Ovis aries: one gene and its partners. The protein of the gene in region 3 interacts with the protein of the main gene of each other region in a biochemical or structural test. Links are inferred from orthologs where the notes say so. Each region holds a gene or a part of one and is shown on either strand. Other genes may lie near its edges. The genes, in order: GUCY1A2, ADGRA2, DLG1, MTMR1, NET1, PBK and TMEM178A.

Evidence for each region.
Region 1: the proteins of DLG1 (region 3) and GUCY1A2 interact in a test that uses a peptide from one of them, tested with the Homo sapiens proteins (2 studies listed by IntAct, with this or other methods). The link is inferred for Ovis aries from reciprocal best matches to the Homo sapiens genes DLG1 and GUCY1A2.
Region 2: the proteins of DLG1 (region 3) and ADGRA2 form a complex in vitro, tested with the Homo sapiens proteins (2 studies listed by BioGRID and IntAct, with this or other methods). The link is inferred for Ovis aries from reciprocal best matches to the Homo sapiens genes DLG1 and ADGRA2.
Region 4: the proteins of DLG1 (region 3) and MTMR1 interact in a test that uses a peptide from one of them, tested with the Homo sapiens proteins (2 studies listed by IntAct, with this or other methods). The link is inferred for Ovis aries from reciprocal best matches to the Homo sapiens genes DLG1 and MTMR1.
Region 5: the proteins of DLG1 (region 3) and NET1 form a complex in vitro, tested with the Homo sapiens proteins (3 studies listed by BioGRID and IntAct, with this or other methods). The link is inferred for Ovis aries from reciprocal best matches to the Homo sapiens genes DLG1 and NET1.
Region 6: the proteins of DLG1 (region 3) and PBK form a complex in vitro, tested with the Homo sapiens proteins (2 studies listed by BioGRID and IntAct, with this or other methods). The link is inferred for Ovis aries from reciprocal best matches to the Homo sapiens genes DLG1 and PBK.
Region 7: the proteins of DLG1 (region 3) and TMEM178A interact in a test that uses a peptide from one of them, tested with the Homo sapiens proteins (2 studies listed by IntAct, with this or other methods). The link is inferred for Ovis aries from reciprocal best matches to the Homo sapiens genes DLG1 and TMEM178A.

Annotation. Positions count from the first base shown.
Region 1 is NC_056068.1:16,133,617-16,137,659, reverse strand, and holds part of GUCY1A2 (guanylate cyclase soluble subunit alpha-2), read right to left. Parts: intron 2,712-4,043; coding exon 1,996-2,711; intron 1-1,995. UniProt on the Homo sapiens protein: Has guanylyl cyclase on binding to the beta-1 subunit. Isoform 2 acts as a negative regulator of guanylyl cyclase activity as it forms non-functional heterodimers with the beta subunits.
Region 2 is NC_056079.1:32,184,840-32,188,882, reverse strand, and holds part of ADGRA2 (adhesion G protein-coupled receptor A2), read right to left. Parts: intron 3,639-4,043; coding exon 3,567-3,638; intron 3,315-3,566; coding exon 3,243-3,314; intron 3,106-3,242; coding exon 3,034-3,105; intron 2,783-3,033; coding exon 2,619-2,782; intron 2,277-2,618; coding exon 2,063-2,276; intron 1,261-2,062; coding exon 1,096-1,260; intron 482-1,095; coding exon 283-481; intron 1-282.
Region 3 is NC_056054.1:192,364,999-192,369,041, forward strand, and holds part of DLG1 (disks large homolog 1), read right to left. Parts: intron 3,672-4,043; coding exon 3,495-3,671; intron 186-3,494; coding exon 116-185; intron 1-115. UniProt on the Homo sapiens protein: Essential multidomain scaffolding protein required for normal development. Recruits channels, receptors and signaling molecules to discrete plasma membrane domains in polarized cells.
Region 4 is NC_056080.1:84,853,793-84,858,449, forward strand, and holds the start of MTMR1 (myotubularin-related protein 1), read right to left. Parts: upstream 3,264-4,657; 5' UTR 3,134-3,263; coding exon 2,967-3,133; intron 1-2,966. UniProt on the Homo sapiens protein: Lipid phosphatase that specifically dephosphorylates the D-3 position of phosphatidylinositol 3-phosphate, generating phosphatidylinositol. Could also dephosphorylate phosphatidylinositol 3,5-bisphosphate to produce phosphatidylinositol 5-phosphate.
Region 5 is NC_056066.1:42,754,954-42,759,570, forward strand, and holds the start of NET1 (neuroepithelial cell-transforming gene 1 protein), read right to left. Parts: upstream 3,231-4,617; 5' UTR 3,099-3,230; coding exon 2,971-3,098; intron 2,187-2,970; exon of another isoform or gene 2,103-2,186; coding exon of another isoform or gene 2,050-2,102; intron 1-2,049. UniProt on the Homo sapiens protein: Acts as a guanine nucleotide exchange factor (GEF) for RhoA GTPase. May be involved in activation of the SAPK/JNK pathway Stimulates genotoxic stress-induced RHOB activity in breast cancer cells leading to their cell death.
Region 6 is NC_056055.1:102,233,748-102,238,579, forward strand, and holds the start of PBK (lymphokine-activated killer T-cell-originated protein kinase), read right to left. Parts: upstream 3,218-4,832; 5' UTR 3,079-3,217; intron 2,809-3,078; 5' UTR 2,646-2,808; intron 1,493-2,645; 5' UTR 1,473-1,492; coding exon 1,415-1,472; intron 323-1,414; coding exon of another isoform or gene 239-322; intron 237-238; coding exon of another isoform or gene 162-236; intron 161-161; coding exon of another isoform or gene 1-160. UniProt on the Homo sapiens protein: Phosphorylates MAP kinase p38. Seems to be active only in mitosis. May also play a role in the activation of lymphoid cells.
Region 7 is NC_056056.1:84,528,970-84,533,012, reverse strand, and holds part of TMEM178A (transmembrane protein 178A), read left to right. Parts: intron 1-1,484; 5' UTR 1,485-2,345; coding exon 2,346-2,745; intron 2,746-4,043. UniProt on the Homo sapiens protein: Acts as a negative regulator of osteoclast differentiation in basal and inflammatory conditions by regulating TNFSF11-induced Ca (2+) fluxes, thereby controlling the induction of NFATC1.

The DNA of each region.
Region 1 (4,043 bases), on a different chromosome or scaffold from region 3:
AAAAGGAAAGGAACAATAATTATAACAATGGTAGAATTAATAATAATGAGCATTTAATCAACACTTAACCCTGAAGCCAAGGATATAAGAATTTTACATGGATTATATCATTTAATCTTTTCAAATAACTCTCTAAGATAGGCAGCCTAATTTGTCAGGGAATATTTAACTTAATCTTAATAACAGATTGAGCTCTTCCTGGTCGAAAATCAGATTCCCCTTTGCCTCTCTTTGGAAATCTATTTGATGCCCCTCAGTGACATTCTTGCTTCTGGTAATCAACACATGTCTTTGGACCTTATTACTGCAGAATAAAGATATAAATTCTCCGAAACTAAGATGATGACTACCTCACCAAATTGCTCACAGGAGTATTCTGCCTCTAGCTACATAGTTAACCCTAACTGACAACACAAAACGACAAAGATCATGGTTTAGTGAAAGCAATACAGTTCACTCTGAAAATGATTTACCGTCATTCAGCTTATGATTAGCTCTTGTTTTTTTTTGTTGTTGTTGTTGTTGTTTTTCTTTTTGATGGAAGGGGGTGGTAGATAATTGGTAGTATGTGCATAGCTAAAATAGTTACATTCCAAAGAAAGCCTTCACTGTAGACTAAAGACTAAATATCTTACACTGTTGAAAAATAGCACTTTCTTATAAAAGTCCAATATAAAACTGGAAACTTCAGACAACTATTAACAAGGCCAGCAATTACAGAAAAAAAATCATGAATCAAGGCCAAATTTATCAACAGGATCATAATTTTTAATTCTGATTTTCTTCTTTTCATGTTTTAGAAAACTATAATTTTGACACTAAAATAACTGAAAAATATCACTCATCTGGTTAAGATTCCGTGTCATAACTTTATTGACTATAATTTCGTTTGGACTAACTGTAGCCTCTTGAATGTCTCATTCTAGCAAACCCAGGTGAATAAGCAGAAATGTAAACAGAACAAGGGATTGCTATCCCTATTTTAAATAAAAATGCTGTCTCTTGCTAGTTTATTTTTAAACAGCTACTAACATATTTAAATTATAATTGGATCTTCTTAATGAGCAGTTTCTTATTATTGGAACTTGCAGGGGGCCTTGACATTTGAGTCATCATCTCATTTTGTCTATTTCTTACTGTGATATACAAATTAAATAGACATACAAGCCAGATGAAATATAGGGGGGGGACTTGAAGCAGTAACTTAAAATTGAATTGATTGTTCTAAAATCTATAAAATATATAAAGCAATCAACATTGACAACAATATATTTTACTTCAAGCACATTTTCGATAATATTACCTTCAATTTTAAGGCTCAAAATGCTTCAATCCCTCCCAGCCAAATACTGTACTTCTAGAAAGCAAAAATCACAGCTTTAATATTCCTTAAATTTAAAAAATAGAATAATTCCAGTGTATTCTCTCAAGGAGTGAAAATGTTCTAAAGAAATGCCTATTTTCAACACTAAAATTTAATTAGAAGTTTTGATATAGTCACTTAATATATTGTTCTGCATATTAAGAAAAATAGGATGTAAACCAGAGTTCCTAGGTTGTGAAATTTAGAACATAACATATTCAAAGTGTAGCTAGCTTTTACTTGTATTTATTTAAGGATAAGGCAAGCAATTCCCACAATGTTGAAGTGAGTCTTACTATTTCTCTCAGAGCTTGACTCAATCAGTGGAAATATTCGCGGATTTATAATATCAGGTCTTTAGTAAATCCTATCATTTTTGTAATTACTATGGCTAGTAATAATAAATGTCTGCTTTTTGTGTGATGAAATAGATTAATGAAAGAGGCAGACAATATGCAAAACAGCTGGGAATAGGGTCAAGTCTTTTTATACATATCCAGAAACCAGTAATTTTCTAAATGGCACTCTAGGTTCTCTTGCCTAAATAATTATAAGTACTGCCAGCATGTAATATACTAAAAGAAGTATGAAATCTCGCAGTTCCTTTCACCCATATCAACATGGCCACTTACCTTGTCTTTATTCTCAGTGCTAGAAGCCTCAGGCTTGGTCCTAATCACAAATGGGGTGGAGAGGCGCAGCAGAACCCTTTCGAAGGTGGCATTAACCTTCGGAGAAATGATCTCAAAGCAGTCCTCAAACTTGAGCACTTTGTGAGTGTCACATCGGAGCTGCTTCCTTAGGCCTTCCCCCAGCTGAAGGACTGACATGTGGGGGTCAAACATCAAGTGAAAAGGGAAGGCTCTGCAGAAGGTGTTGATGCTAATTCTGAGGTCTGCAGGAACTTGGGATGTTCCCTGAGGAAGGTTCTTCGTGATATTAGCATTTTCACATAGTCTGATAAGGAAAGCGAGGCCATTACAATTGCCTGGGTTTGAACCATCGGAGCACAGTTTCTCAGCGACCTGGTTCACTTCCACATCCAGCCGATAGATCTTCTTTCCTGCAGCCTTAATCATTCCAAGCATTGCAAACCCCACAATGTGGTGAGGGTGGAAGTAGTGGAGTATAAGAGTACCTTCTGGGAGCTCTTTGCATAGGAATGATGGTGACTCTAGAGTGGCCTGTTTTCCAAAAGAAGTTCTAATATGTTCCAACAAAGCATCAAAGCCATTAAAAAAGTCCTGCAATGTGCCACCTACAGCTCGAAGGACTCTCTCATTGTCATCAAAGCATATATTAAAGAACTCCTCACCAAATCTTTCTTGGATTTCCTCAAACTTCAAACCTAGAGGTAAATGGAAGCAAATGTTAATAAGATATAATACAAGTAATTGAATTTATTTTTTTAAGTAATTGAATTTATAGCTTTTTAAATGTTTATCAGAAGAGTAGCTAGTGACCAAAGCAAGAGAAGCAGTCCCCTTGGGTACACAAATTTCCCCAATACGTTAAGTCATTCATTTTGATTTAGAGAAAGTAAATTTCAGTTCATCTTCTGGATGCTTCTAAGATGTTAATGAGCATAAACATTTTGTTGTTGTTTAATTTTAAATATACTATTTTTAGAGTAGTTTTAGATACATAGGAAAACTTAGTTGAATATATTGTCCACGTACTCCCGTTCACTTCCCGGACACAACCTCCTCCCTTGGAAACTACTGATATTGTACACTACAGTGGTACATTTGTTACAATCAATGAACCTATATTTATATAACATTATCATCCAAAGTTCATGGTTTACATTAGGATTCACTCTTGATGTTATATATCCTTGAGTTTAGACAAATGTGTGATAATATGTGCCCACCATTTTAGTATCATGCAGAGTAGTTTTGCTGCCCTAAAATCTGTTGTGCTCCACCTATTCATTCCTGGGTCCCCTTAACCCCTGGAGCATGATCTTCTTAAAACCTGCTAATCTAGCTGTTTTTCAATATTATATCCCATTCGCTGTAATTACCATGAATATTATATTTTACTTAGCAATTTCCCTCACCATTGAATAATTTTAAGATGCTATTATATCCATTCAATATTATTAATTATCACAATTCATTTGTTAAATGGGAAATATAACCAGAGAGGGACTCTATGGTACACAAGCAGAGACAAGCACCAGGTTATCTTGAACAGACAGAATTGCTTAAGTTACAATAGTAATCTCAAAAAAAAACCATGCAGGTCATCTAGACCCCAGGAATGAAGAGACAAAACAAGGAATTAAAACTGTGGAATGATCTGCATTCATTCCTTCATTCACAAAAATGAAAGCAGACAACCCTGGAATAGGAATCTGACCAGAGTTAAAAGTCTTTGTTAAGTTTTCTCCATTCATACTTATTCCCAGATGCCATGGCAAAAGGAAATCTACCTTTTAATAATGGAATTATAGTGATAAATAAATATACACAATGCATTATATAGTAATTTCAAGCAGGATCATATATGATCTATCAATAGTAAGATCCGCCCTGAGAAAGAACACCACACAGATGAAAGAGTTGAGTTTGTATCGTAAATAAACCTTCTTTGTAGAGTTACCCTATTGCTTCTCCTTTGACTTTGGCTGAAATCAGTTATATGTTGTTTACATATACTCATATTTTGTTTCTTA
Region 2 (4,043 bases), on a different chromosome or scaffold from region 3:
CTCCGGCTGCGCCACCCCTAAGGACAACGGGATGACCTCACGCTTTCCTCTTAAGTCGGACCTTGCTGTACTGGGGGACAGAGGATTGGGGTGGCCCTCCCGTGCCGAGTGTGGCCCTGGGGAGTCTGAATCCCCGGGAAGAGGAGACGAGTGTGAGACACAGTGCTGGCCCTGTGGCTCCTCGCCGTGCCTCCCAAGGACGCAGGGGCCCCCAGCCCCGTGGGGCCAGCCAGCTTCTCCCCTTCCCCTTCCCCATGGCCTCCACCCCCGCCCCGGCCTCACCAGCACAAAGGTGTAGAGCACCCGGGTGATGTCATTGGTGTACAGACAATGGGAGTAGTCCCCCGGCTCCCAGCGGCCAGCGCGGTCGCACCGGCGGGAGGCTCGGGTGCCAGGGGCTCCCCCGCTCAGGGGCACCGAGGTGAAGGGGTACTGCAGGCAGGACTGGTAGGCTGTGATGCCAGCTAGAGTTCGCGGCCACCTGGGGGCAGAGGTGGAGAGTTGCTGATGACCCAGGCTCCTCAGGGCCAGGGTCCGTCCCTTCCCTGCCCTGAGAACTGTGAGGCCAGACCCCTTGGGAGCTGGAGGCAGGGTCCAGAAGAGGCCGTGTGGACTGGACTTCAAGGGCTTCCCAAGCTCCCCCTGAGTTCTTAAGCTGTGTTTGTTGGGACAGTGCTGTCACTGCTGTGAGGCTGGCCTTGGAGTCCTGACTTCAGGTCACTTATACTTTCTGGGCCTCAGTCTTCTCAACTGTAGGATGGGAGAATAACACCTGTCCTGACTAAGGGAGAGGCCCCTGGGATATTAAAATGTGACATCTGTCATGGGAGAGTTTTGTCAACTATCCACGTAGGGAAGCAACTGCACCCCCCCCCCAAAAAAAGAAACCCCAAACCCCTGTTTGTTCTGCACAGCACATCTTGAAGGGTGATTTTATACAAAAGGATATATGGTCTCTCTAAACACACCAACGGGACTCGGAGCTGAATGACAAGAGGAAGTGTTTTCTCCATCTTAGAGCAGGTGGGGGCACTGTTCACTCGCATCGCAGAGGCTTGGGTTGGGGGCAGGGGACGGCCAGGGGTGGTCCCAAACCTGAAGTCCCCGCGGTTGTTGGCGACACGCTCAGCGGGGCAGTAGGAAGCCGAGGTCTCCAGCACCACGATCTCCACCTTCTTGCTGGCATTTCCCTGGACCGTGGACACGGAGCACTCCCATTCGCCTGAGGCCCACACGCCGATGTGAGACAGGGTCAGCTCGCTGCGGGCGGGCGGGCAGGCGGGCGAGGGCTGGCTGGAGGCGCTCCTGGCGGCCACGCCACCCTCCCTGAGCGCCCGGGTGCCAGCTTCAGGCTCTTTTCTCTTTTTTTTTCAGTTGAGTCATGCAAGATCTTAGTTGCCCCACCGGAGATGGAACCTGGGCCCCCCGGCAGTGGATCACCAAGGAAGTCCCCCAGGCTCTGAGCCAAGGGTACAGGCTCATACTCCCTTAATGCTGGCCTTACGATAGTGTTTTTTTGGGCTTCAATCTCCCCACCCTCATCACGGAGGTAATAAAACCTCTCTTGCAAGACGTTTGCAGAGAGCAAGTCCAACAATATAGGTGAGACCCTCTGTATCCTTGTAAAGGTACTGAAGAAATGTCAGATTTAATCAGCTTTTTTCCTATCAGGCAATCTGTAGGGCTTCCCAGGTGGCTCAGTGGTTAAGAATCCACCTGCCACTGCAGGAGACTGATTGGATCCCTGGGTCGGGAAGATCCCCTGGAGAAGGAAACAGTAACCCACTCCAGTATTCTTGTTTGGGAAATCCCATGGACAGAGGAGCCTGGCAGCTACAGTCCATGGGGTTGCAGAAGAGTCGGACATGACTTAGTGACTAAAACAACAATTCAATTTGTATCCCTCACGCGGACCATTTCTGACTTAGTTCTGGATCTGCATAAACGCGCCCACAGATATTCCCAGGAGCAGACCAGCTCCTCTCGGGGGTGGGTGGGTGGGTGAGGGTTCTGGCTCCCCCCGCCCATGCTCTGGGCTGAGAAGGGGCTGCAGGGCCTGTACCTGGTGATGAAGGTGCAGTCGTGGACCAGGCTGTCAGCCAGCAGGACGCCCGCCTGCTCGTCGCCCTCCACGGGGGCCCGGTTGTGGTACCAGCGGATGCGGGTGTCGTTGCCCAGGTAGCTGGCGGAGCACTGGAAGGGCAGCCGGTCGCCCTGGAAGACCACTTGGCGGAGGGATGGGATGAGGTGGAGTGTGTGGAGCTCCAGGGCCCCCTCTGTGGGCGAGGACACCGGGAGTGAGCCTGAGTGCCAGGTGAGGACAAGGCCCCTCTGTCTGGAGCCCACCCTAGTTCAGAAGAAGGGGGCTGGAGTGTCTCCAGAGATTAAAGCAGAAGAGAGGAGCAGGCAGGTTTTGAACGAGTAAAAGTGCGTCTTTCCATAGCACGCTTTGTCACCCCAAGAGGTGGGACCAGATGAAAACCATAAACCAAGCAGCACTCCCCCAGGAAGTTTAGAAAATCGGATGGAGGACGGGTCCCCAGTGGGGCCTAAGGGAGAGGACGCCCTGGAGACCAAGCCCACTGCCTCGGGAGCCTTGAGGGCTCAGGTCAGCTCACCGCAGCGCAGCTGGGCCTCTTGGAGGCCGGCCAGGGCCTGGGCATGCAGGGCACTGGGGTAGGCACAGAGCGTGCGCTCCGACAGCTGCAGGGAGCGGTTGCGGGCCCAGGGAAGCAGCCAGCTCAGGCGGCAATCGCAGGTCAGGAACTCGGTGCCGAAGTCCCTGCAGAGGGTGGAGGGACCCAGGGTAGAGCAGAGGGGTTCCCTGGGCTCCCGGGGTGGGGATGGAGCCCCAGGGATAGACTGAGGCTGGAGAGGGCAAACTCTGCTCGCGAGCCTGCGCCCTGCATCACCGCAGACGGTGGGGCTTCGCCCAGCCCCACCTCCTCAGAAGGCTGGCCACGTGGTTGCAGTGTTTATGTGTCCCCCTCCTGGCGGAGGAAGGAAGCAAGGGCCTGGGGAAAGGATACTCACACCACCTTAAGGGCTGGCAGCTCATCAAAGACCCCAGGTTGCAGACTGGAGAAGATGTTTCCAGATATGTTTCTGCAGTGGAACAGGGAGACGGGATCTTAGGTTCTCCCTGGGCTGGGGTGAGCCCTTAGAATGCAGGGCCCATGAGGGTCTGGGGAGCCTTCCCTCACACCCCACCCTCCACCCCCGCCTTCCCTGCCCGCACTCACAGCCGGAGAAGCCTGGGGAGGCCCTGGAAGGTCCCGGAGGTGAGACAGCCGATCCGGTTGTTGGAGAGGTCCCTGGAGAGACATGCAGACCCTCAGCAGGTCAGCCACGTGGCAGCACGTGGGTCCACCCATGAGGGACACACATGTGAGGCTGGGGCTTGTGTGGGGAGCGGAGAAAAAGGGGATGGGGTTGGGGCATGAAGCGTCTGCCCCCCACCCCCCACCGAATGTATGGTGAAGAGGGACGGTGGGTGACTGGGATCCACGGGACCTCCTTCAGGGATGCGGGGCCTGGGGGCACGGTGGTCAGGACACACCACTCACAAGCGCTTCAGCTCCCCCAGACCCAGGAAGGCGCCGGGCTGCACCGTGCTGATGATGTTGTTTCTCAGGTCCCTGCGGAAGACAAGCGGAGGGCCCTGACACCTCGCCCACTCGGGGGGCACATGGCCCACCTGGGTGGGCAGCTCTTGCCCTAGTCGGGGCTGGGGTCTCCATTGCCCTCGAAATCCCTGGTGTCCTCAGTGGCGGCCAGGAGGCCGCTTGAAGGACCTGGCCCCTCAGATGGGTGCCCGCGGCCTCCCCGGCTCCCTGGTCAGACCGGCGCAGGGAGGGTGCAGAAGGGCCTTGGATGGACGAACGAGGCGGCAAACCCCGTGGAAATGGGAGGGGAGGGCCCCGAGCCTGCTGTCAGGAGGCCCCAGCTGCCACGAGCTGCCCCGAGTTTCTCCATCTCCCAGGGCTGCTGTGGTAGCATGTGAAAATGGGCGTGACGGTCCTCTGTGGACTGCCGTGCCGCGC
Region 3 (4,043 bases):
TAAACCACCAATGGCAAGAGCTGTTGTTTATTTTTATGGCGAGGTCCTTCTAACTTTAATAATGTAGCTCAAACAAGAATTATGAAAAAGTCAATAACAGATTTCATATACGCACCCCTTTATCTCCTCTTGCTTTAGAATTGAATTTCACTGTTTTTAATCGGGCTCGTTCTTTCTTCTCAACCCTGGCAAAGCACAGATCATTTTTTAAGTATAATAAACATATTCAAGGCTCTAACTAGAAATCATCAGGACTGCTACTTTAATATGGAGCATTTTTATATTTTAAAGCCTTTAAAAGTCATTTGCATCTCACAATTAATAACAACTTCTGAGAAATGAAATATAGGGCTCATTTTATTATGAAACAAAACCACCTGTGAAGTATAAGTATGTATACTTTTATATACACTCAAATCCATAACTATATTGAAATTATTATGATGTACCACTTCTGAGTTCAGCAATTTTCCAGGTTTTCCATTTGTTCTGGTTTTTGAATATTTAGCTTATGGAACACATATGCTAAAAATTCAATGTCACAGCGAAAGCAAATGAAGTAAAGTGTTAACAACTGAGGAAAGTAGATGAAGGAAATATGGGTATTCTATGTACTATTCTTGTATTTCTTTTGTACTTATATTTTCTGCAGCTCTGAAATTTTTAAAAATAAAAAGGAGGGAAACAAAAACATTTAAGCTTAATTCCAATGATATATTTCTATAAATACATAAAATAACCACTTACAGTACATAAAATATAGTTTTAAAGTATCTTTGGAAGGATACAGAATGGTAACCTTAGTTAACTTCTCAGGGAAGAAGGTGAAATGGGTGGGTGGGGAACAGGGTGCAGAGGGGGCCTGTACAGCTGTTAAAATCTTTTGAATTTTAAACCTTGTTGAAAGTGCTACTTTTGAAACAAGCAAGCAACATACTACAACGTATATAGTGTACAATCTACAGCCATGTATGAATATTGCAACCAGTATGAATCTTGAAAAATTTCATACAAATTAAGCTTTATAAATCCTTGATTTCAGCATAGCAATTATATTAGTATATAGCAGAAAAACCTACCAAAAAGCCTATGAATAAAAGCATATCCTTTTTTTTTTATCATCTAACTATAAAGTTTTACCATGGGTACAGAATAACCCTAGCAGTCACAGATTTAAAATTTTTGTTTTTACTATTCCAGAGCAACCTTGAGGGTCCATAATAGGAATAATTAATTTATAATTTTGCCAAGGCACTTATTCAGGGCACTGAAAAACTAACATTTAGTAAATGAACATTTACAACTCAAATGGCTTTGTTTTCTAATCATTATTTTGCTTACTAAATAGTTGAGTGACTTCAACTGTGTTTGTCAATACTGTTCCTGAAAGAAAGATAAGAACTGTAGGAACTCCAAGTCCTTGTGCTATTATTAAAGATGATAGCATTCTATGTAAAAAAATACAAGTTTAGAATACACTGAAGGATGAAATGGCATAATTGGTTGTGATTTCATACTGTAATTTATGGCAGGAAAATTATATTTTATATTATTATTCACGAATTTGGGAATTTGTAGAGGTGTCAAGGTGTATCTCTTTTATCACTTTTGACTTCAAAATCCAACCTTACAGAATTTTTATACAAAATGAAAAATATCTCTTTCCACCAAAGTCAGCTGTATTTCTCATTTGTTGCAGACACATGTAAAGCCTTTGCAAGATAAAAGATTTCCAGAGATAAAGGCAATTTTTAGGAACTCTGACCTTGATATTTAAGATGTGAGGTTTCTATTGACTCAACAAGGCAAAGAGGAAGCATTTCTGTGTTTAAAGGATACTATATTCTATTCTAGGGAAGAAGTTATGCTGAGGGTTGCATTGCTAAAAGAGGAGTTGTCACCAAATAGTTGGATCTTGCTGAAAATATGGATCTAGCCAACAACAGTCATAAATTCCAAAACCACAGTTACAGAGATCTTCACAATATTTCAACATTCTTCAAAGCCTATCAACAGATGTACAAATATATATATGGTAGAGAGGTTTATAAACAGGCATATGATTTGGCATAAGTATCAATTTAGAGTCTCAACAAAATAAGTATATGTCCAATTTATTAACAAGGAAAGAACAAGTTTATTATATCATAAGCTTGACTTGAAGTGAATTAACTAGCTAAAATAAACATTAATGACTCTCTGACAATTTTCACTGGTTATCTTAAAACTTAAGTTTTAGGCAGTGATTTAGCTGAATCAGATCTCATATATAAGTTCTTTTGGGGAAATTATGAACTGATGTTTTAACACCTTTCCCGTAGAAGTAGAGACATCCAATAACATTTCATTGACCTCAGAGAGAGTTGTTGGGATCACCTTTTTCAAAGAAACTCTGTACTTAACCACTTATGCCACTAGATGGTAAGTATGCACCAGTGAGTGAATCACTACAATAATCAGTTAAAACAAAGAGGAAAGACTACTGAATGCACAGATGATTCTAAATTAAACAAGAAAAAGAGATGATATCTAAAAGAAATAAACATTTCTAAAAATCTAAAATATCTAAAAGATAATTTTAGATATTTCTAAAATTTTGCATTTAAAATGCTTTATCTTTTTTATCTAGAAGAGGCAATTCACACAATCAAAACCCCTGAAAATTTGAGTTTTAACACCACCTACATGGGAAAACTCATAGCTCAGTCAGTAAAGAATCTGCCTGCAAAGCAGGAGACCTGGGTTTGATTCCTGGGTCAGGAAAATCCCCTGGACAGAGGAGCCTGGCAGGCTATCGTCCATGGGGCTGCAAGAGTTGGAATGACTTAGCGACTGAAATTAAACCACCACATGGGAAAATTATAGAGGTTTTTAATTCTTTCTCTACTGGTATAGATCTGTGGCACAGGCACTTAAAATATACTTACTTTGTTTTTAACAACTAGTAGGAACTTTAGAGAAATTTCTATTTGGGGGCTTCATATTCTCTCACTATATCATTGGTTAAAATATAAAGTGAAAGGAAGTGAAGGTCACTTAGTTGTGTCTGACTCTTTGTGACCCCATGGACTCTACAGTCCATTGGATTCTCCAGGCCAGAATATTGGAATAGGTAGCCTTTCCCTTCTCCAGGGGATCTTCCCAACACAGGGATCAAACCCAGGTCTCCCACACTGCAGGTGCGTTCTTTACCACCTGAGCCACAAGGGAAGCCCCAAAATACTGGAGTGGGTAGCCTATTTCTTCTCCAGCGGATCTTCCTGACACAGGAATCGAACCGGGGTCTCCTGCATTACTGGTGGATTATTTACCAAATATGCTATCAGGGAAGCCCAGTTACAATACAAGGTGAATAAAATTAAATGGCTGTGAAACACAATATAAAACACCAAGCATAAAATCATCACTTCAGTAAAAGAAATTTAAAAAAAACCCAGCAATTATTCACATTGCCCAATTTTCAAGTGGTAAGACTCTAACAGACTTATATTTACCTGCGTTTACTGGGAATCACCCCAACTTCATCACTTTCGCCATCTGGTGTAACCTGTCTGGCTTGCCACCATTCATCATCAGAAGCATTAATAACATGGAGGATATCTCCAAATTTGAAGTTCAATCCCTGACTAGGAAGGCCACTGTCTTTAGTCTTGTCATAATCAAAGAGGGCCCTAGATTAAGAAGAAAAAAGTCTGCATTTCTTATAATGATATTATCAATATTAAATAAACAGATCCTAAAAGTATATATATAATTTAGGTAGATAACAAAACAATGTACCACGGTAGGCAAAACAATGCCAAGCTCAATTTTGTGTTATATACAAGAAGACAATGAGAGTAAAAAGAAATAGCAAAATTAACTTGTAATGGTAACAGACATACTATTCTCTCAGTAGTGTATGAGAAATTTATATTGTATGAGAAAATAAAAAAACATACTTTTAGTACAATCCAATAGCAAACTATATTGAATTCTAAAATGAAGACAAATCTGGTGAGTTGCTCTAAATTAATAAAGTAAATATTAGAGACTCTCCTCTT
Region 4 (4,657 bases), on a different chromosome or scaffold from region 3:
GTTCTCCTGCCTCATGAATTTAAGCTCCACCTCTATGCCAGTGACTCCCAAATTCAGGTCTCCAAACCAGACACCACCTCTGAACTCCAGGCCTAAACAAACCAACTGCCTCTTTGATATTTGCTCTGGGACATCCAACTGACATCTCATTGCTGTTCTATCCAGGGTGAGTGCCTGCTAACTTCCTAACCCTGTTCCACTTAGAGGCTTCTCCATCTCGGCCACACCATCTTCCACAAGCTAAAGACACTGGAACTGTCCTCAATTCTCCCCTTCTCCTAGACAATTGCCACCCTGCAGCAAACCCTGCTGGCTCTACCCTGCAGATGTCCTTCAGATGATATGTTAAGCTTGACCACTTCTCCTTTCCTCCAGCCCGCGGCTCCACTCGAAGCCACCATCCTCTCTCATTCTGACGACTGCAACAGCCTCCCACCTGCTAGACTCTCTGATTCAACTCCTTCCCCTTCCGGTCTGTCATCCGCACAGCAGCCATGGAGACCTTACTGAAATCTACACCAGGTGTTGTCCCTCCTCTGCTCCACGCCACCCACTCCACCGTCTGTGGCCCCTGTGACCTGACTTTGTCCTCTGCTGCGTCTCCCCAGCATCCTCTGTGCTGGTGACACAGGCTTCAGCCTAGAGTGCTGTCACCCAGCTATGCGCATGACTAGGCCCCTCTTCAGGGGCACTACTGAAATGCCACTTCTCTCCGAAAGGCCTTCCCTGACCACCCTACACCACACTCCCAGCACTGCCCAGAGTGCACACCCCAGCCACTTCTATCCCTCCCGGATGACTCTTGTCCCCCCACACCTATCACCATCTAACACAGAACACATGTGATTTGGTCTTTGGTTTCTCTCTCCCACTAATGGTGACCCACGAGGGCAGGGATTTGTGTGTGCGTGTTCCTAGCTATATCCTCAGGCCTAGCACAGTGCCAGACACAGAGCAGGTTCTCATATTCACAGAATAAATGACTGAGAGAGGAGCATTTCCAGAACCTACTTAACCTAACTCAATGAGACCACCCTGCCTCCAGTCCCTTCACAACACTACTGCATGGCACTTGTTCTCAAATGCAGAGGCCACCCTGTAGCTCCCCTGATGAAACTCCTCTTGTGGCCTCCGTAACTAGGTGACCATATAATTCCTTTTCCAAACCAGGACACCAGTGTGAGTTGCAGAAGCATACTACTGATAATCTCACTGGCCCAACCAGTACTCTGTACCATCTGGAGCCAAAGAGACCACAGATTCCAGTCTACTTGTAGCTAGGGTGGTTATTAAAAATGCAGAATTTCAGGCTCTACCCAGGAGGTGGTGGATCAGATTTAGGGTGGGACCCAAGAGTCTGTATTTGAATCAAGCACTAGAGGTGATTCTGACTCAGGCTCTACAGAGCTGTGTGGAGAAGCACTGGCCCAGAAGACAAAGGCATGGCTCCTTGGAAGGCACACAGGCCCCATCAGGATCTAGCCCCTGCCTTCCTACAGGCCTTTACTACCCATTCCCCACATCTAGCATCCAGCCAGGATATGACACACGTTTCACTCCAGTGGCCAAACAGTGCACCCTGTCCGTCCCTACCACTAAAAATGAAGTGAATACCCTACCTCTGGGTACCATAGTGCAGTGGATCACAACTGAGGTGGTAGAGCCCTTTTTGAAAAATTTTAACACCTAGGCCTCACCCAAATCTCCTGAATGAGAAGCCTCAGAAGTGGGGTCTGGCCACCTGGAGTTCTTAAATAGCTTCTCAGATGATTCCCATGCACATGTCATCCAGAGCGATTCCAAGCACACCTCCACCCTGGCACTTATCACATTTGGTTTCAATGGCTGTTTTATTTGTATTCTCCACTAGATGTTAAGCCAGAGTGCAAAAGCCGTCTGCCATTACTCTCTAATTCTCCAAGCACTCATACATCATAGAGTATCTACAGATAGTGCAACCCTGACCATTCCGCCCACTATCTTAGCTGTGATTAGTTTTCAGAGAAGCTGACCACTTGGGTAATGACTTTATTAAAACATACTGTAATTACACAAAGGGAGTGTTTCTTGTTGTTCCTATGCCTTTGGAAACTCCCCAAAGTTTATCTCACTGGAGTGACTAAGGCAGGAACCAACATCTAAAACTGTCCTAGGGGCTTTAGGACCGGGATGCCTTAACTCACTCTAGTGTCAGTGAAATGCCCAAAATGAGGGAAAGCTACATACTCCAGGAGATGGGATCACCAAACTCTTGTCCTCAGAGGGTCAGGGTGGCCCTCCCACTTAGATCTGGTCGGTTTATGCTTCTAACTGCTTGATCTTAGTTCTCTGCCTGTGGGCTTAGTTCTCAGGCAGTGGCCTTACGTGTTTGTGAAAACAATGAACTGGTCCCTTCAAAGTGTGAGGAACTGAAAGTAAACGCTGATGTGTTCTTGCATCAGGAGCAGTTTGGAAGTTTTCCATCGAAATGAGGGTATCTTTGCCTCCATCTGTACCAGCTCCGACACCCACGGGGTTCCACCCCCCAGTACCCCCTCACAATCCCCACGTCAAAGCCCCCAAGCAGCGGCGGCGGGATTTGGATCTTGAGATCACTCGAGGCAAGGTCATGCGAAAAAGAGGGCGCCGTGATGAAAATGCCTCCCAACGATTTGTGGCCGGGGTATCGGCCGCCGAGGCGGCTCCCAGGTGCAGTGGGAGGCGGCCTGGGCCGCGGTTTGACAGCTGCGAAGCCCCTCGAGGTGCGGGGAAGCTTCCGCGAGCTGTGAAAACGAGCCAGGTGCGAGACCAGCGACCAGGCAGGGGTTCGCGGGGCTCCGGAGGGGACAGGGAGGGGACAGGGAAGGGGAGACGGGAGGCGGACTCCCCGGCTCGGCTTCAGGCCGGCGAGCGGGGAAGGGGCGGCCGGGCCTCGCGCGGGGCCCTCGGGAGTCGGGGCGTGGTGGGGGCGGCAGGGCCCCGCTTACCTGTCCAGAGTCTCCACGCTGGGCTGCCGGGAGCCGACGGCGGGACCCCCCGCGACCCGAGGGGGCCTCCTGCCGCCCGCCGGTCCCAGGCCCAGGCCCCCGCCGCTCTCGCAGCCCGCCGCCGCCGCCGCCGCCGCCGCCGCCGCCGCTGCCGCCGCCCTGTCCATGGCGCGTCGAGCCCGCCGCCGCGGGGAAGCCGCAATCGGGAGGGGAGCGGCGCCCCGGAAAGTCCGGCAGCGCGCCTCCGGCGGCCCCGATCTGCCGCCCGCCCGGCTCAGACGGCCGCCGCCATTAGCTGTCACCTGGCGCCCGGCGTTACCCACAAGGCCGCGCGCGTGGGGGTGGGGGGCGGGGAGGGCGGTGCGCGACCCGGAGCCTGGTCCCCAGCCCCCTACCCCCAGCCCCGCCAGAGCCCCACCTGGGCCACCGGCCCGCCAGCCGGCGGGGTGAGGCCCGGGCGACCTGGACACGTCCCAAGCCACTCGGGGTCGAAATCGACCCACGACTTAGGCAGAACGCGCTTTGCTCGGGAAACTCCTAGATGCAGGGTTAAAGAAGAAAAAAAGTTTAAAGTAATTCTAGTATTCAGTACAATTCGTTTTCCATCAGTTTTCCTTCCTTAGAAAAGTTTTGCGGTGGGAGAAGCCCCAACGCCCGTGGGCCTCCCTGCTCTTGACATCTCCAACCCCGAGCAATCCCATACATTTTAGCAACCTCCCCTCACTCCGTTCTTAGCCGCCCTTTCACGCACCCACAAAGCCACCTCCCCGCCATCTGTAGGGCAACCAAGTGTTCTGATGCCGCCCTCGGAACATCCGCCCTTAGTTTATATTATCAGCAACGTGTAACTTCTGTCGGCTAAATCACCGCTTGCGGAAATCAAGTCCAAATCTGATGATAAAGGCATTTAGGATATTTAATTCCTGCTTTATATTTATTTTCCTGACCATTCTATTAGGGTTTGCATATCGAATGGGCTCACAGCCCGTTACCCACCCCTGATTTAGTTGGAGGTGGGAATGATGGCTACTGCCCCTTGCCTGTGATTGTCCTGGGTATGACTTCTGACCAAACTCTGGCCAGTGAAATATAAAGGCAATAGTTTGCATTCTGATAAAAGGTAGACCTGTAGACAGGGAGTTATTAGTTCCCATCCCAAACCCATCTTGCCCTCTCACATTGATAACTTCCAACTGAACTGTGAGAATGTGATGCTTGAAACCCTAACAACCCAAGAGTGGATGAGACTTGGGTGAAAGGGTGGCAGGGTGAGAAGAGTTAGGAGGAAGGAAGGGCAGATTTCCAGATATACTGGAGACCCACCTCTTGCTGGCTTCTGATTTTCCAAAATTATTAAATAAAATGCTTAAGTATTACAGATGGAATGTTTGTCTCTCCCCCTACCTCCACCATTTATATGTTGAAGCCCTAACCATCAAACTGGTATTGAGGTATTTGGAGATGAGGCCTTTGGGAGGTGATTAGGTCATAAGGCTGGTGCCCTAAAATGTTTGGATTGTGCCTTTCTAAGGAAAGATGCCAGAGAGCTTGGACTCTCCCTGCAAGGACGCACTGAGGAAAGGCCATTTGAGAACATAGCATGAAGGCAGCTCTCTGAAAGCCAGGAAAAAAGCTGTCCCAATTATCTCAACCTTGCCAGAATCTTGATCTTGGGACTTTCCAGGCTCCAG
Region 5 (4,617 bases), on a different chromosome or scaffold from region 3:
CCAGTGCTGTGATTTCAAGTCTATTTGCTGATAAGCCCTCAATTTATATTTGGTTACACAGATGTGTTTACTTTGTGACATTTCACTGGGCAAAACACTTATGATTCATGCATTCTTTCATTTGACTGTTAAACTTCAATGAAAGTTTTTTTTTTTTTTTTCAAGAGAAAAAAGCCAAAAAAGAGAAAAGGGGGAAAAAATTGTTGTGATGCATTCCTTAATAGGAGCCTTTTAACGCATCCCAAAGCAAACTTCTCTCCAGGAACACGGAAACCTGGTCTTCTGGTGCTCAGATTAAAAACCTCGGAATCATTCTCCATTCCTCTGTCTCTCTTAACTCCACACTGAATCCATGTGCAAATCCTGTCAGTGCTACTTTAAAAATACATCCCAAATAGGAGTACTTTCCACCATGTTTACCACTCAGATGTCTCAAACTGCAGTAACCTCTTCATTAGTCTCCCTGATTTTCTCCCTGCCACGTAACAGACCAATCCTTTTAAACTACACATCACAGAATTTTCTATTGTCTCCCAACCATAGATTCAAATTTGAAATCTTTCTGGTGGTTGGCCATGTACTACCCGATCTGACCCAGGCATCTCTGTGACCTCGCTGTCCACCTTTCTCACTTTAATTTGCTCCACTCCAGTTACCGTGGCTTCTCTACAGTCCTTGAACACACCGAACAGGATTCTACTTTGAAGCCCTGTACTTACTGCCTTTCTCCCCACATCTTCACATGGTGGAGTTCCTTAATTCCTTCACATCTCTGCTTAAATGGCATCATTACCATGGAGGAGAACTGTTTGATCTTTTAAAAATAGCAAAACTGAACCAATACAGTATTGTAAAGTAAAATAAAGTGAAAAAAAAAAAAAAAAGGCAAAACTGCCCCTCTCCTTATCTCTGCCTGTCCTGCTGCTGCTGCTGCTGCTAAGTTGCTTCAGTCATGTCCGACTCTGTGTGACCCCAGACGGCAGCCCAACAGACTCTCCCGTCCCTGGGATTCTCCAGGCAAGAACACTGGAGTGGGTTGCCATTTCCTTCTCCAATGCATGAAAGTGAAAAGTGAAAATGAAGTCGCTCACTCGTGTCCAACTCCCAGCAACCCCATGGACTGCAGCCCACCAGGCTCCTCCGTCCATGGGATTTTCCAGGCAAGAGCACTGGAGTGGGGTGCCACTGCCTTCTCCGATGCCTGCCCTTACCATACCTTAATTCTCCTCACAAGATGACCACCTGGTATTTCATTATCGTCTTTCATTCCTAACCAGAATGTAAGCTTTATGAGAGCAGAGACTTCATCTGTTCACCAAAATCTCTTAATATCTGCAACACTGTGAAGATCTAGGAAAGTGCAAGTGTTAGTTGCTCAGTCGTGTCCGACTCTCTGTGACCCCCACAGACTGTAGCCCTCCAGGCTCCTCTGTCCATGTGATTCTCCAGGCAGGAATACTGGAGTGGGTTGCCATGCCCTCCTCTGGGGATCTTTCCAGGCAAATGCTCAAAAGCTTTATTGAATGAACACAGAATGAATTTATCACTGTTCTTCTTCCCTTCACTACATGGTCCTGATTCTCCTATTTCTCAGTCTCTGGGATGATGACGTCTTTCTGCTTTTTCACTACCTCTTAAATATAAGTTGTAATCAGTATAAAGGTTTCAGGCAAGGATTATCCTAATCTTCAAAATAAAAAATCAATATCTAATGAAAAAGTCTAATTCTCTGCACGATGACTTATTAACTGTGAGTTTACAAATGCTCTGTCCATGAAATTAAGGTGTTTTCCTTTCTCTGAAAAAATGACTGGCACATCCAAGCATGACTGGAATGTAACTTCAGTAAGGAACTGTAGTTTAAGAATAAGTAGTGGACCACAGGGACTTCTGAAAAGAGAAGCAGATGTGGAATTACTGATAAAAATCAGCAAATAACAGTTTGTTTCTAACTCCTTGCATACAGGCTCACACAATGACCTCACTGAATTGCACAACTTGGAGGAAGTGGATACTATTTCAACCCTATATGACAGATGAGGACCCAACCTTAGAGATGAAAGGTCCAACGGCTGGTCACAGGAACCCAGGGCCTGCAGCATCCTGACGGGAAAGCAATGCCCCCAGCCCTCGTTCACCGCTCGCCTCGCAGACACCGCCTCTGACACCCTCGGCCGGTGTCCTCCCTTCGCAGACGCACAGGACAGAATGAAATGTGTCAATAGCTAAAAAGTCCAAGATGGGCCTCTGCGTCCTCTTTACCCGGGAGGCTGGGGTCCTGAGCTGCGCCCTGATCACCGACTTGGTCAGAGGCTCGAAAGGAGGGACTGTGACCTCGGCGAAACTCTTCATTTTAATGCTTGCTTTTAGGCTAAAAGTTTGGTGTCTGGTAGAAGTCCTCGGGGGCTTCCCTGGTGGCACAATGGTAAAAGAATCCGCCTGTCAATGCAGGAGATGCTGGCTTGATGCCTGGGCTGGGAGGATCCCCCGGAGAAGAGAATGGATCACAAGAATCCCAGGATTCTTGTCTGGGGAATCCTTGGACAAGAGGAGCCTGGCGGTCTGCGGTCCATGGGGTCGTAAGGGGTCGGACACGACCGAGCGACTGAACAAAAGAAACTCTCCGGCTCCAGGAACGATTCCAGTCCTCTTAGCCAGCAGCTCTCGGTGGGCATTTAGGAACCGCCCCCGCCACCCCCAAATCCAGCCCGAAACCTGCTGGGTGTGCAGAGAGGACCTCCACCCCCTGAGCGGGGAGGGGAGACGAGAGGGAGGAAGGAGAGGAACGGGAGGTAAAAATAAAGGAGGGTCAGGCGATCGGAAGAGGGGGACGAGGGGAGAGAGGAGGAAGCAGAGGAGAGCAGGCAGCCCTGCTCTCCCCTACCCCCGGCTCCTTCCCTGCCCGCCACCCCCTCCCCAGCCTCGGGCCCCACAACCCGAGTCCCCAGGCGCCGTTCACCCCGCGCTCACCTGCCGTCCGGGCCGGGCCCGGGGGTGTCGGCCGCTGGCTCCGCGGCGCCGCCGGCGTTGAGCCCCGAGGCCCGGCGGCTTCGCCTCCGCGGCCGGCTCTGCTCCTGGGCCTCCAGCTCGGGCTCCATGGCGCGGAGGGGGCGGCGCGGTGGCTGGGTGCCCGGGAGGCCCGCTGGGAGCGGCACGGCGCCCGGCCTCTGCGGCCCGAAGACGGGTTCCTGTCAGGACGGCGCCGCCACCTCCGCCGCCGCCATCTTCCGGGGTTTGAAAATGGCGGCCGTGCGGACACCAGCCAATCAGGGGACGCGGCGCGGTTGCTAGGATCGTGGAGTCCCGCCCCTCTCCTTCCTTAAGGCGCTAAACTGTTCGGAAGCTGTGAGGGGGAGCGTGGTCCACAGGGTCGCCCGGCTGATGAGCCAGAGGCCTGGGGTCTAGTTCCTAAATCGCCAAGGCCCGATTACTAGTGTACAGTTCATTAGGACTTTCACCACAAGTCAAGGGAAACTGGGAAGCATTTTCAGCTCAGTTCAGTCGCTCAGACCTGTCCTACTCTTCGTGACCCCATGGACTGCAGCACGCCAGGCTTCCCTGTCCTTCACTATCTCCCAGAGTTTACTCAAACTCATGTCCATTGAGTTGGTGATGCCATCCAACTATCTCATCCTCTGTCGTCCTCTTCTCCTCCTGCCTTCAATCTTTCCCAGCATCAAGGTCTTTTCCGATGAGTCAGTTCTTTGCATCGAGTGGCCAAGCGTTGGAATTTCAGCTTCAGCATCAGCCCTTCCAATGAATATTCAGGACCTATTTCCTTTAGGATGGACTGGATGGATCTCCTTACAGTCCAAAGGACTCTCAAGAGTCTTCTCTGAAATCAAAGTTTAGAAGCACAATTCTTCATTGCTCAGCTTTCTTTACAGTCCAGCTGTCACATCCATACATGACTACTGGAAAAACCATAGCCTTGACAAGACGGACCTTAGTTTGCAAAGTAATGTCTCTGCTTTTTAACATGCTGTCTAGTTTGGTCATAGCTTTTCTTTCATGGAGCAAGTGTCTTTTAATTTCATGGCTGCAGTCACCATCTGCTATGATTTTGGAGCCCAGGAAAATAAAGTCTCTCACTGTTTCCACTGTTTCCTCATCTATTTGCCATGAAGTGATGAAAGTGGATGCCATGATCTTATTTTCTGAATGTTGAATTTTAAGCCAACTTTTTCACTCTCCTCTTTCACTTTCATCAAGAGGCTCTTTAGCTCTTCTTCGCTTTCTGCCATAAGGGTGGTGTCATCTGCATATCTGAGGTTATTGATATTTCTCCTGGCAATCTTGATTCCAGCTTGTGATTCATATAGCCTGGCATTTCACATGATTTATGCTGCATATAAGTTAAATAAGCAGGGTGACAGTATGCAGCCTTGACGTACTCCTTTCCCGATTTGGAACCAGTCTGTTGTTCCATGTCCATTTCTAACCATTGATTCTTGACCTGCATACAGATTTCTCAGGAGGCAGGTCAGGTGCTCTGGTATGCCCATCTCTTGAAGAATTTTCTGCAGTTTCTTGTGATCCACACAGTTGAAGGCTTTGGTATAGTCAAAGCAGATTTGGATAAACTTAAGCAAATTCATCAGTGGTTGTGCACAGATT
Region 6 (4,832 bases), on a different chromosome or scaffold from region 3:
GCATAACTCTAACTCCTATCATGGAATTGATTCCAGAGAACAACTTGCTTAAGAAGCCAGGGTTACTGAGTCAAGAATTCAAATCTGGTTTCAAAACAGAAGAACTAGATTCCATGTCCAGGAAAGAAAAGAACCCGAGGAGGCCTCAGAACAAAGACAATTAGGGACAGGATCCTAGAGATGAGAGAATTCAAGGTATAGAAACTACACAGAATGGCAGCAGTCTCACCAGTGACTGTCTTATTTCTCTGGAGCCAGAACAGGGGAAACAGAGACAGATTCAGTGTACTTGATTACATTAGTCTGGACTCCAAACCTCTAACTCTTCCTGGAACATACCCTTCTAAACACACCTTCAGCTTCTCCAGGAGCTGAGCCTTCTGGAGATAGTAAACAAGACTTCAGGTGACAGAGACACATACAAAGCATCACAGAGAAAATAAATTTTATTAATATCATTTTTCAGCAATCACAGTAATGACTAATTTAGGCAAAAATCAAGGAAAGAAGAAAGGAAGGGAGGGAGGCAGGCAAGGAAGAAAGAAGAAAGGAAGAAGACTATGCCAAAAGGGTTCCTATATGACCCACAAAGCCTAAACCATTTACTATCTGCCATTTACAAAAAGTTTGCTAGTGCCTGCACTACGGCATGCAGCCAAAGATACCATATACACACGTGAACGTACGCATGCAAATAGTGGGGTCTGGTTTTAGAGCTACAAAAAAAAAAAAAAAAAAGAGAGAGAGAGATAAAAGCCTAAGTAATCATCATTAGAGTCATAATTACAGCACATCTATATTACAGAGTAGTATAAGGTTATTAAAAGAGATGAGATATAGTAGTCCTACTTTTGCTCATGAACAATTAACTGCTCTTGGATTGCCCTTTTGCCATTAACAACTAGAAAATTTGACAAAATATAACGGCTTTCACATACTTCACAATAGACAGGGCAGGACTATAAACTCTGAGAGGAGAGAAACTAATGAGGTGAGTCCTATCACTGCCCTCACTTACCGCCTAGAGACACCTTCCAGGCTGCAGCACCAAGAAACGAAGCCCAAAGCTCTTGTCAAATTGAAGTGACAAATTACCCTGTGTCTATTGAATTGCCTTGGAAAATACCCTTCCCATATATAGAGGGGGAAAGATAAAGTAGTTCCTTTGAGGTTCAAGTTAAATTGCTTCTTCACCAGGGAGAACCTACAAATCTGCTAGAATGTCAATAAAATTAGATCACAGATGACCAAACTCTGACCTATAAAAGAAGTCTTATTTCTTAAGATCAACACTATAAAGATGACTTATACTAAAACTGTTCTTGTGTGATAGATAACAATAAAAAGATTTAACTGTAATACTATGAAGACATTTCTGATATTAGTAACAATGAAGAAAGGTTTTATAGATTACCAGATTTCCTTTTTTCAGATAATCTGCTTGGTGTCTTGAAATTATTGGTTTCTTCCATTGTAATAATCCCTTAAGGTCCTATGATAAAAATGAATAGAAAGGTACACTGCAGTTATAAAGAATACATCTTTCATTCATGAAGAAAAAATTCCTATAATACTATCACTTATTTACAAAAAAATTGAGAACTGAAAAAGACCATGACAAATATTTAGTCCAATTGTATTTACAATGAGAAAACGGAAACCCAGAGAGGGAAAAAGATAAAGTAAAATTAAAGATAAGTAAAATTACATACCCAAGGTCATGCTATTAATGATTGTGGATTTTTGTTTTATTTAAAAAATAATATATGCACTTGGTCAAAAAAAAAAAAATCACCTAGTACCCCCCCTCCACTTCCCAGGAGTGGTTATTAACAGATCTTTTATATGCTTTTAAGAGCTTGGCTTTGTAAGCAGTATTATTCATAATAGCCAAAAAAAGGAAACAGAAATAGCCATCAGATGATGAATGGATATAGAAAAGATGGCATATACTACACACAATAAAATATTATTCGACAGAGTATATATTTTACATAGGGAATATTATTTAGTCATTAAAAGGAATGAAGTACTCAGGTATACTGCAACATGAAAGAATCTTGAAAAGCTTATGCCAAGTAAAAGAAAGCAGACAGGAGAGGCCACTTATATGATTGTTTTTCCACACAATATCCAGAAGAGGCAAATCCATGGACAAAATAAATGAGTAGTTGCTGCGGGCTGAAGGGAAGAGAGAATGTGGGGCGACTGCTAGTGGGTGTATGCCATCTTTTTGGGGGTGATAAAAATGTTCTAAAATTAGGTAGTGGTTTAATATATTCAACTCTATTCCAAAAACCACTTAACACTTTCAAAAGAGTGTATTTCATGATATGTTAATTACATCTCAATAAACTATTAGTTTAAAATTATCTGTGAAAATACAATGTACATACTGTATACACAAGCAAGTTAATACAGGCTTTTTTTTTCTTCTGTAACATATTTCCTTAAAAATCTTTTTTATTAAAAATAATTACTATTCTTTTGAAAAAAGGTTTGGTTTTGTATTAGATTTACTGTAAAGCAAACTGTTACTACCTGTCTGTAAGCTCGTTTGAATTGTCCATAAAAAAATGAGAGGAAGAGAGAACATTTGCTTAAATGCTGCATAGAGCCACTCAATATCCCTTAAAAAACAGCACCTGGGCGTCCCATGTGGCATGAGTGGTAAAGTATCTGCTTGCCAATGCAGGAGGTTCGATCCCCGAGTCGGGAAGATCCCCTGGAGGAGAAAACGGCAACCCACTCCAGTATTCTTGCCTGAAGAATCCCATGGACAAAGGAGCCTGGAGGGTTCCTACGGCGCTTTCATAAAAAGTACAGAGTGTCAAGCTCTGATTTGAGAAAAGAGCGATTTCTTTCTTCGAATCCCCACCGTACCCCGTAATTCTGATGCGCACGCGGGTCGCCAAGATGCTTCCTAAGATAATTCTCAGTTTAATGCATATTCCCAACATCTTCCTCCTTCCTTCCAGGCCCCAAGTTGTCAAAAAAGTAAAGAGGCCGCGGCTCGAGGGGCGCGGGACTCCCGGCCAGGCCCACTCGCAGCAGGACCCCTAAAAGCTCTCTCCTTACCAGAGCCACGAGGTAGGACGACGAGACGTCCAGGGAAAGGCTGTCTTGAAAACTGGTCCCGAGTGGCCCCCAACGCTCCGCGGCCCCCTGGGGTGAGGGGTGGGGTCCGACCTGCCAACACACGGACTCGGCAACCGTTGTTCCTACGGGAACCCGCCGGGCTTTCAAAACCACGCACGCACCGCCCCTACGTCGATCGCGAACTACGGGGAGGCGCAAAGGACACACCAAGCCGGATTCGCCGTTCCTGTTCTTTTCAGGCCTTCCACTCTGTTTATAGATCCCACCTTACTACCCAGTGCTGCTGCTGCTGCTGCTGCTGCTGCTGCTGCTGCTGCTGCTGCTGCTGCTGCTGCTGCTGCTAAATCATTTCAGTCGTGTCCAACTCTGTGCGACCCCATAGATGGCAGCCCGCCAGGCTCCTCTGTCCCTGGAATTCTCCAGGCAAGAACACTGGAGTGGGTTGCCATTTCCTTCTCCCTTACTACCCAATAGGGATGCTTTGAAGCCAAATAAAAGGTAGAGAAGCGCAGCAAAGGACGAACTGACTTTTGCAGCCACTATCAGCCCTTCAAAGGGACAACTCCAGTTAAAAAGAAAATGTATGCCTGTATTTAGACTGAAATCCTTTCCCAATTACGACGGCTGTGCCCAGAATGTGTGATGGCTGTTTTGTCTTTTTTACTGCAAATTTGGCCTTGAAACACTGTAACTAAAAATGCCCCTGTCTTGAGTAGCAATAGTTTTTGACTGAGAAGAAACACAGATACTCAGAAATTTTGCTACCTCTTGTAATCACTACGTTCAGTTCAGTCTTGTCCGACTCTTTGCGAACCCATGGACTGACTATACAGTCCATGGAATTCTCCAAGCCAGAATACTGGAGTGGGTAGCCTTTCCAGTCTCCAGGGGATCTTCCCAACCCAGGGATCGAACCCGGGTCTCCCGCATTGCGGGCGGATTCTTTCCCAGCTGAGCCACAAAGGGATGTGTTCATTTATTCAACAAATATTTAGACAGCATCTTCCCCTTCTCGGGGAGATCTTCCCCTCCCAGGAATCGAACGCAAGTCACCTGCTTTGCAGGCAGATTCTTTACTGTCTGAGCCACCAGGAAAGCCCAGAGAGCACCTACTATGTGCCGGATATGTGTCGAATGCCCACTGCAGAAGATATACTCTAGCAATCACTGAAAGAGACACAAAGATGATTAAGTCACAGAACCCTCTCCTGCTCAGGAGGAGCTTAGGCAGAGGGGGATGAGGGAAGGGTAGGGAAGTGTCCAAAGAAAGAAACACACACACAACACAATACAAAGGAGACTATAATGTAGGCAACTATAGCTGAAAAGCCCATCTTTTTGCAAATGAGGAAACCCAAATGGCACAGAGAGGTTAAGTAATTTGCCTAAAGTCACAGAGCCAGTAGACGGTAGAGTCAGGATTTGAACTCATGCTTAATTTAGTGTTCCTCTTTAACAAATATGTTCAAAACCTCTTCCATCTTACACACACCACACACACATGTCTCCACCTTCAGGGCCCTCCCATTTTTGGCCACCCTCTCCTAAGCAGAGATGGTCTCTTTGTGTGTTTTCAGTTGCTCAGCTGTGTCCCATTCTTTGTAACCCCATGGACTGTACCCCACCAGGCTCCTCTGGAATGTTCCAGACAAGAACACTGCAGTGCGTTGCCATTTCCTCCTTCAGGGCATCTTCCCAACCCAGGGATCGAACTGCAACTCCTGAATTTGCAA
Region 7 (4,043 bases), on a different chromosome or scaffold from region 3:
TGTTTTCAGAGAAGGGTATGATCAAAGGGTTCTGGCTAAGAAAATAAAGCAGAACATTATTTTCTTTTAAGTTAGACAGTAGTGCCTGAGAAAGAGTTTTCCTTCTGTTGGCTCCAGCTGGGGACATGGTTATTGTGTGAAGATAATCAGGTGACTCTGAAATGTGGCAGAATATTTATTTGTTGGAGTACATCAGGATTTGTAAAGGGAGTGAAGAGTTGCTTAAGGTTTGACTATCCTTGGGACTTGCAAGGTTTGTAATATCTTGATCTCAAGAGGCATTTCCAAAAAATAAAAGGACATATGATAACTAGAGTGAGTTTCAGATATCAGCTGTGAGTTCACAGTGAAAGATATTCTTTCTGTGTATCCATAAAGATTGAGGATTTTACACATATTATAGAGTATAAATAAAAGCAAGCTTCTAAGTCTCATCATTTTTTTGTGTAAATCCAGATAAGACTCCTTTGATGAGCTTAGCATTTCCTGTTAAGGAAAAGCTTATAGGTGAGAGGAACACTAAAATTATAATTCTTTGTCTTCCTTAATTAGACTGAAGCTCACCATAGATCTTGCTGAGACAATCCAAGTAATAATTCACATTGTCAGGTCAGCAGAAATAGGCAGGGGGTGCCCAATATGACTGAAAGATTTGCTCCAGTGATCTATCTGTGAAGGGAGGTACACAGCCTTCATGGGCAATATACCCTCTGAAGATGCTGAGTATAAACAGCAATGAAAACAAATCCCAGGAAGATTCTTATACCACCTTTACAGAGGTCATTTCAGAGGAAATATATAAATCATATTCATACCAACTGATATGGGGCACTAATTAGTAAGTCCCATTAAATCGTGGAGTAATGTCATTTAGCGTCCAATGAATGCCTCATCACCTTTTGATCATTAACATGGCAAAAGAACACAAAACTTGGTATCCTTGGGCTCCCACAGCATGGTTTTCTGTCTGTGATGTGGCCCCCTGGGCATTAAGTGGCAGGAGGGTATTGCTCCTCTATCATCAGATTCCACACAACACAGCGATTAACTCTTTCAGGACCCTGAGTCCTAAGGTTTCCTCATTTTAGAAAATGTGACTCTGCCTGCCATTCTCAATTAATGCCTCCGAGTGCCCTAGAAAGCAGAAGCAAGCTGAGATGTTGACTTTGGTGTGTAGTATCGCTCTGCTGCTGACCCTCCCAGCCCATGTAAGTTGCACAGGAGGAAAAAATAAAAAATCATCCCCTTGATTTATTACTAAGGACTTTATTTATTTAAGGACAACAATCACCTCACAGACCAGGTGCCACTGCAAGGGCTTATTGATCACTATAGACTTGTAGAAATTCCAGGAGGCCGTCATTCCAGTGGGAGATGGAGGTGGTCGACGAGAAAGAAGTCCATCTCTGAGCAGGCTGGAGTGGGAGAAAAATCTCTGGCCATTGGTCCATCGCTCTAGTGACACTCGGTGTCTTTTCTTTCAGAAGAGGGTCTGGAGCGGAGAGAGCGCTGAGAGGTTGCCGTGGGCGAGGAAGAGGGAAAAGCGGGGGATGACCGGGTGACAGAGCCGCCCAGGGGTCTGAGAGGCTGCGTTCTTCGGTGGAGGGACAGAGGGTCTTCGGCTCCGGATCCAGATTCCTGAGTTAAGTATCACCGCGCAGCCCGACCCAGATGGGATTCGCTTCTGGTTACAAAACGGGACACTGATCAACATCAACTTGGACAAGTGACAAGACTGAGTCTGATGTGGGTGGATGTCTTTTCAGGTCGTCGGAGGGGAGAGGACGGCTGAGCGCTCGTGGGTAGCTGGGGAGAAGCCTCGCGGCCAGGGCAGGGACAGAAAGGGACAAGAGCGGGGAGACAGGGACGAAGAAGAGGGAGGACGAGTTGAAGAAAAGTAGGGGCAAAGTAGAGACTGGGTGAAGGGGAGAGAGGAGGGGACAGGGGAAAAGTGAAGGTGGCGAGGAGAGGGATTCGAAAGGGAAGAGGAGTCTCGGGAGAGCAGGGCGGAAGCATCGATCGGGCGGTGTGGACAGCTGGGGGTGAGCAGGGTAGGGGGGCTCCAAAAGGGAGGGGAAGGGGCTGCGGGAGCGGCGGTGCAAGCGGGGTTGGGGGCAGCGAGCAAGTGCTCGAGGCGCCGGGTGGCGCGGAGCGGCGGGCCCGGGAGGAGGCGGGCGCGCGGTCGGAGGGAGCCGAGGAGGGAGCGCGCCGGGCCGGGAGCCGGAGGCCGCGGGCGGCAGGGGGCAGGTGGGGGAGCTCGGGAGAGAGGGAGCGGAGCGAGCCGAGGCCAAGTGCATTGTGTCTGGCGGCGGCGCGCGGGCCCACCGGCGGCGGGGCGAGCAGCCATGGAGCCGCGGGCGCTCGTCACGGCGCTCAGCCTCGGCCTCAGCCTCTGCTCCCTGGGGCTGCTGGTCACGGCCATCTTCACCGACCACTGGTACGAGACCGACCCCCGGCGCCACAAGGAGAGCTGCGAGCGCAGCCGCGCGGGCGCCGACCCCCCGGACCAGAAGAACCGCCTGATGCCGCTGTCGCACCTGCCGCTGCGGGACTCGCCCCCACTGGGGCGCCGGCTGCTCCCGGGCGGCCCAGGGCGCGCCGACCCCGAGTCCTGGCGCTCGCTGCTGGGGCTCGGCGGGCTGGACGCCGAGTGCGGCCGGCCGCTCTTCGCCACCTACTCGGGCCTCTGGAGGAAGTGCTACTTCCTGGGCATCGACCGGGACATCGACACCCTCATCCTGAAAGGTGAGCGCCGGGCGCGCCCTGCGCCCCAGGCGCCCGCTAGCGGAGGGCAGCTCGTGGCTCCCCAGGGGCGCCGGTCCCCACGGCCGCCTCCCCGCCGCGTCCCTGGCACACTCTTTCCTCTTCCCCGCCGCCTCCTTTCTTTATCCCTCTCCCTTTCTTTCTCCGTCCCTCCCTTCTCTCTGGCTCTTCTTTCCCCGACTCTTCTTTCCTCTTCATCCTCCTCTGTCTCCTTTGCTTCCGCGACCTCCTTCCTCCCCCTTTTCTCCTCTCCTCTCTCGTCCTTCGCTCTCTTTGTACACCTGCCCGACTTGGAATGCATGTGACGATTGCCGCTGGCGAGGAAGGGAACCCTCAAAAAGACCCAGCCTTGCCCAGTTGGGCTCCTTCCCTCAAGTTGTGCTTTCCTTTCAGAAATACCTTTGGAAGAAAAGTGGTGCAAATCTCAGAAGAGGAGGAAAGGGCTTTATTCTTGTACTGATTTAATGTTGGTAGCAGACGGGACTGATGTGGTCATGCCAGTCTGACAGGCTAATGGGGAGCTCAGGAGGCCGGAGGAACCTTCCTCTAAACCCCGAAGTGCGGGGTTCCTTTGGGTTAGACCTCAGACGACAGTAATGCCCTGGTGGAGGCAGCTGAATGCAGCTAGGACATCGACTGTTTTGCAGCCTTCCTCCTGATGGCTGGGCGCACCATCCTCAGTTCAGGGCGAGCAGAGTGGAAAACCTGCCCAAGCCTTTTAAAGTAGAGCTTTTTGTATTTGCACACGGAGTCTCTACAGAATCACCCGCTCAGATTTTGATACTTTGTTAGGCTGTTTTGTTAACATCAGTTTGCTCTTCTGAAGTCTAGACGATACCTGGCTCCCAGGCGTGTTGGATCCTTTGAATTTATTTATTTATTTATTTTTTGTGATCTCGTTCAGTGTGACAGTCCTATTGCTGAAGCTTTCTTCTAGCTGTCAGAGCTTGACCCTTATGATAAATTCTTTTCCTCTGAGACGGGGGAAAACAACAACAACAACAACAACAAAAAGCCACGTTCTTCCCTGGAACTCATTATTGCAAAAGAAAAAAGAAGACGTATAAAATCAGTGCATCTAAATCTTTAGTAGCCATTCAGGAAAGCAAAGAAGCAGATTTGTGTTGAATTCTGGTTTGGAATGGAATTACATAGAAAGGAGGGAGTTAATAACATTGGCCTCAAAGTCTTGTTAGTTGGCGTATTCCTCATTTCTCAAACATGTCAACTTCCTTCTTCCCATGGCTAGCTCAGCTGGGGACCGCCATCTGAAATCTGTC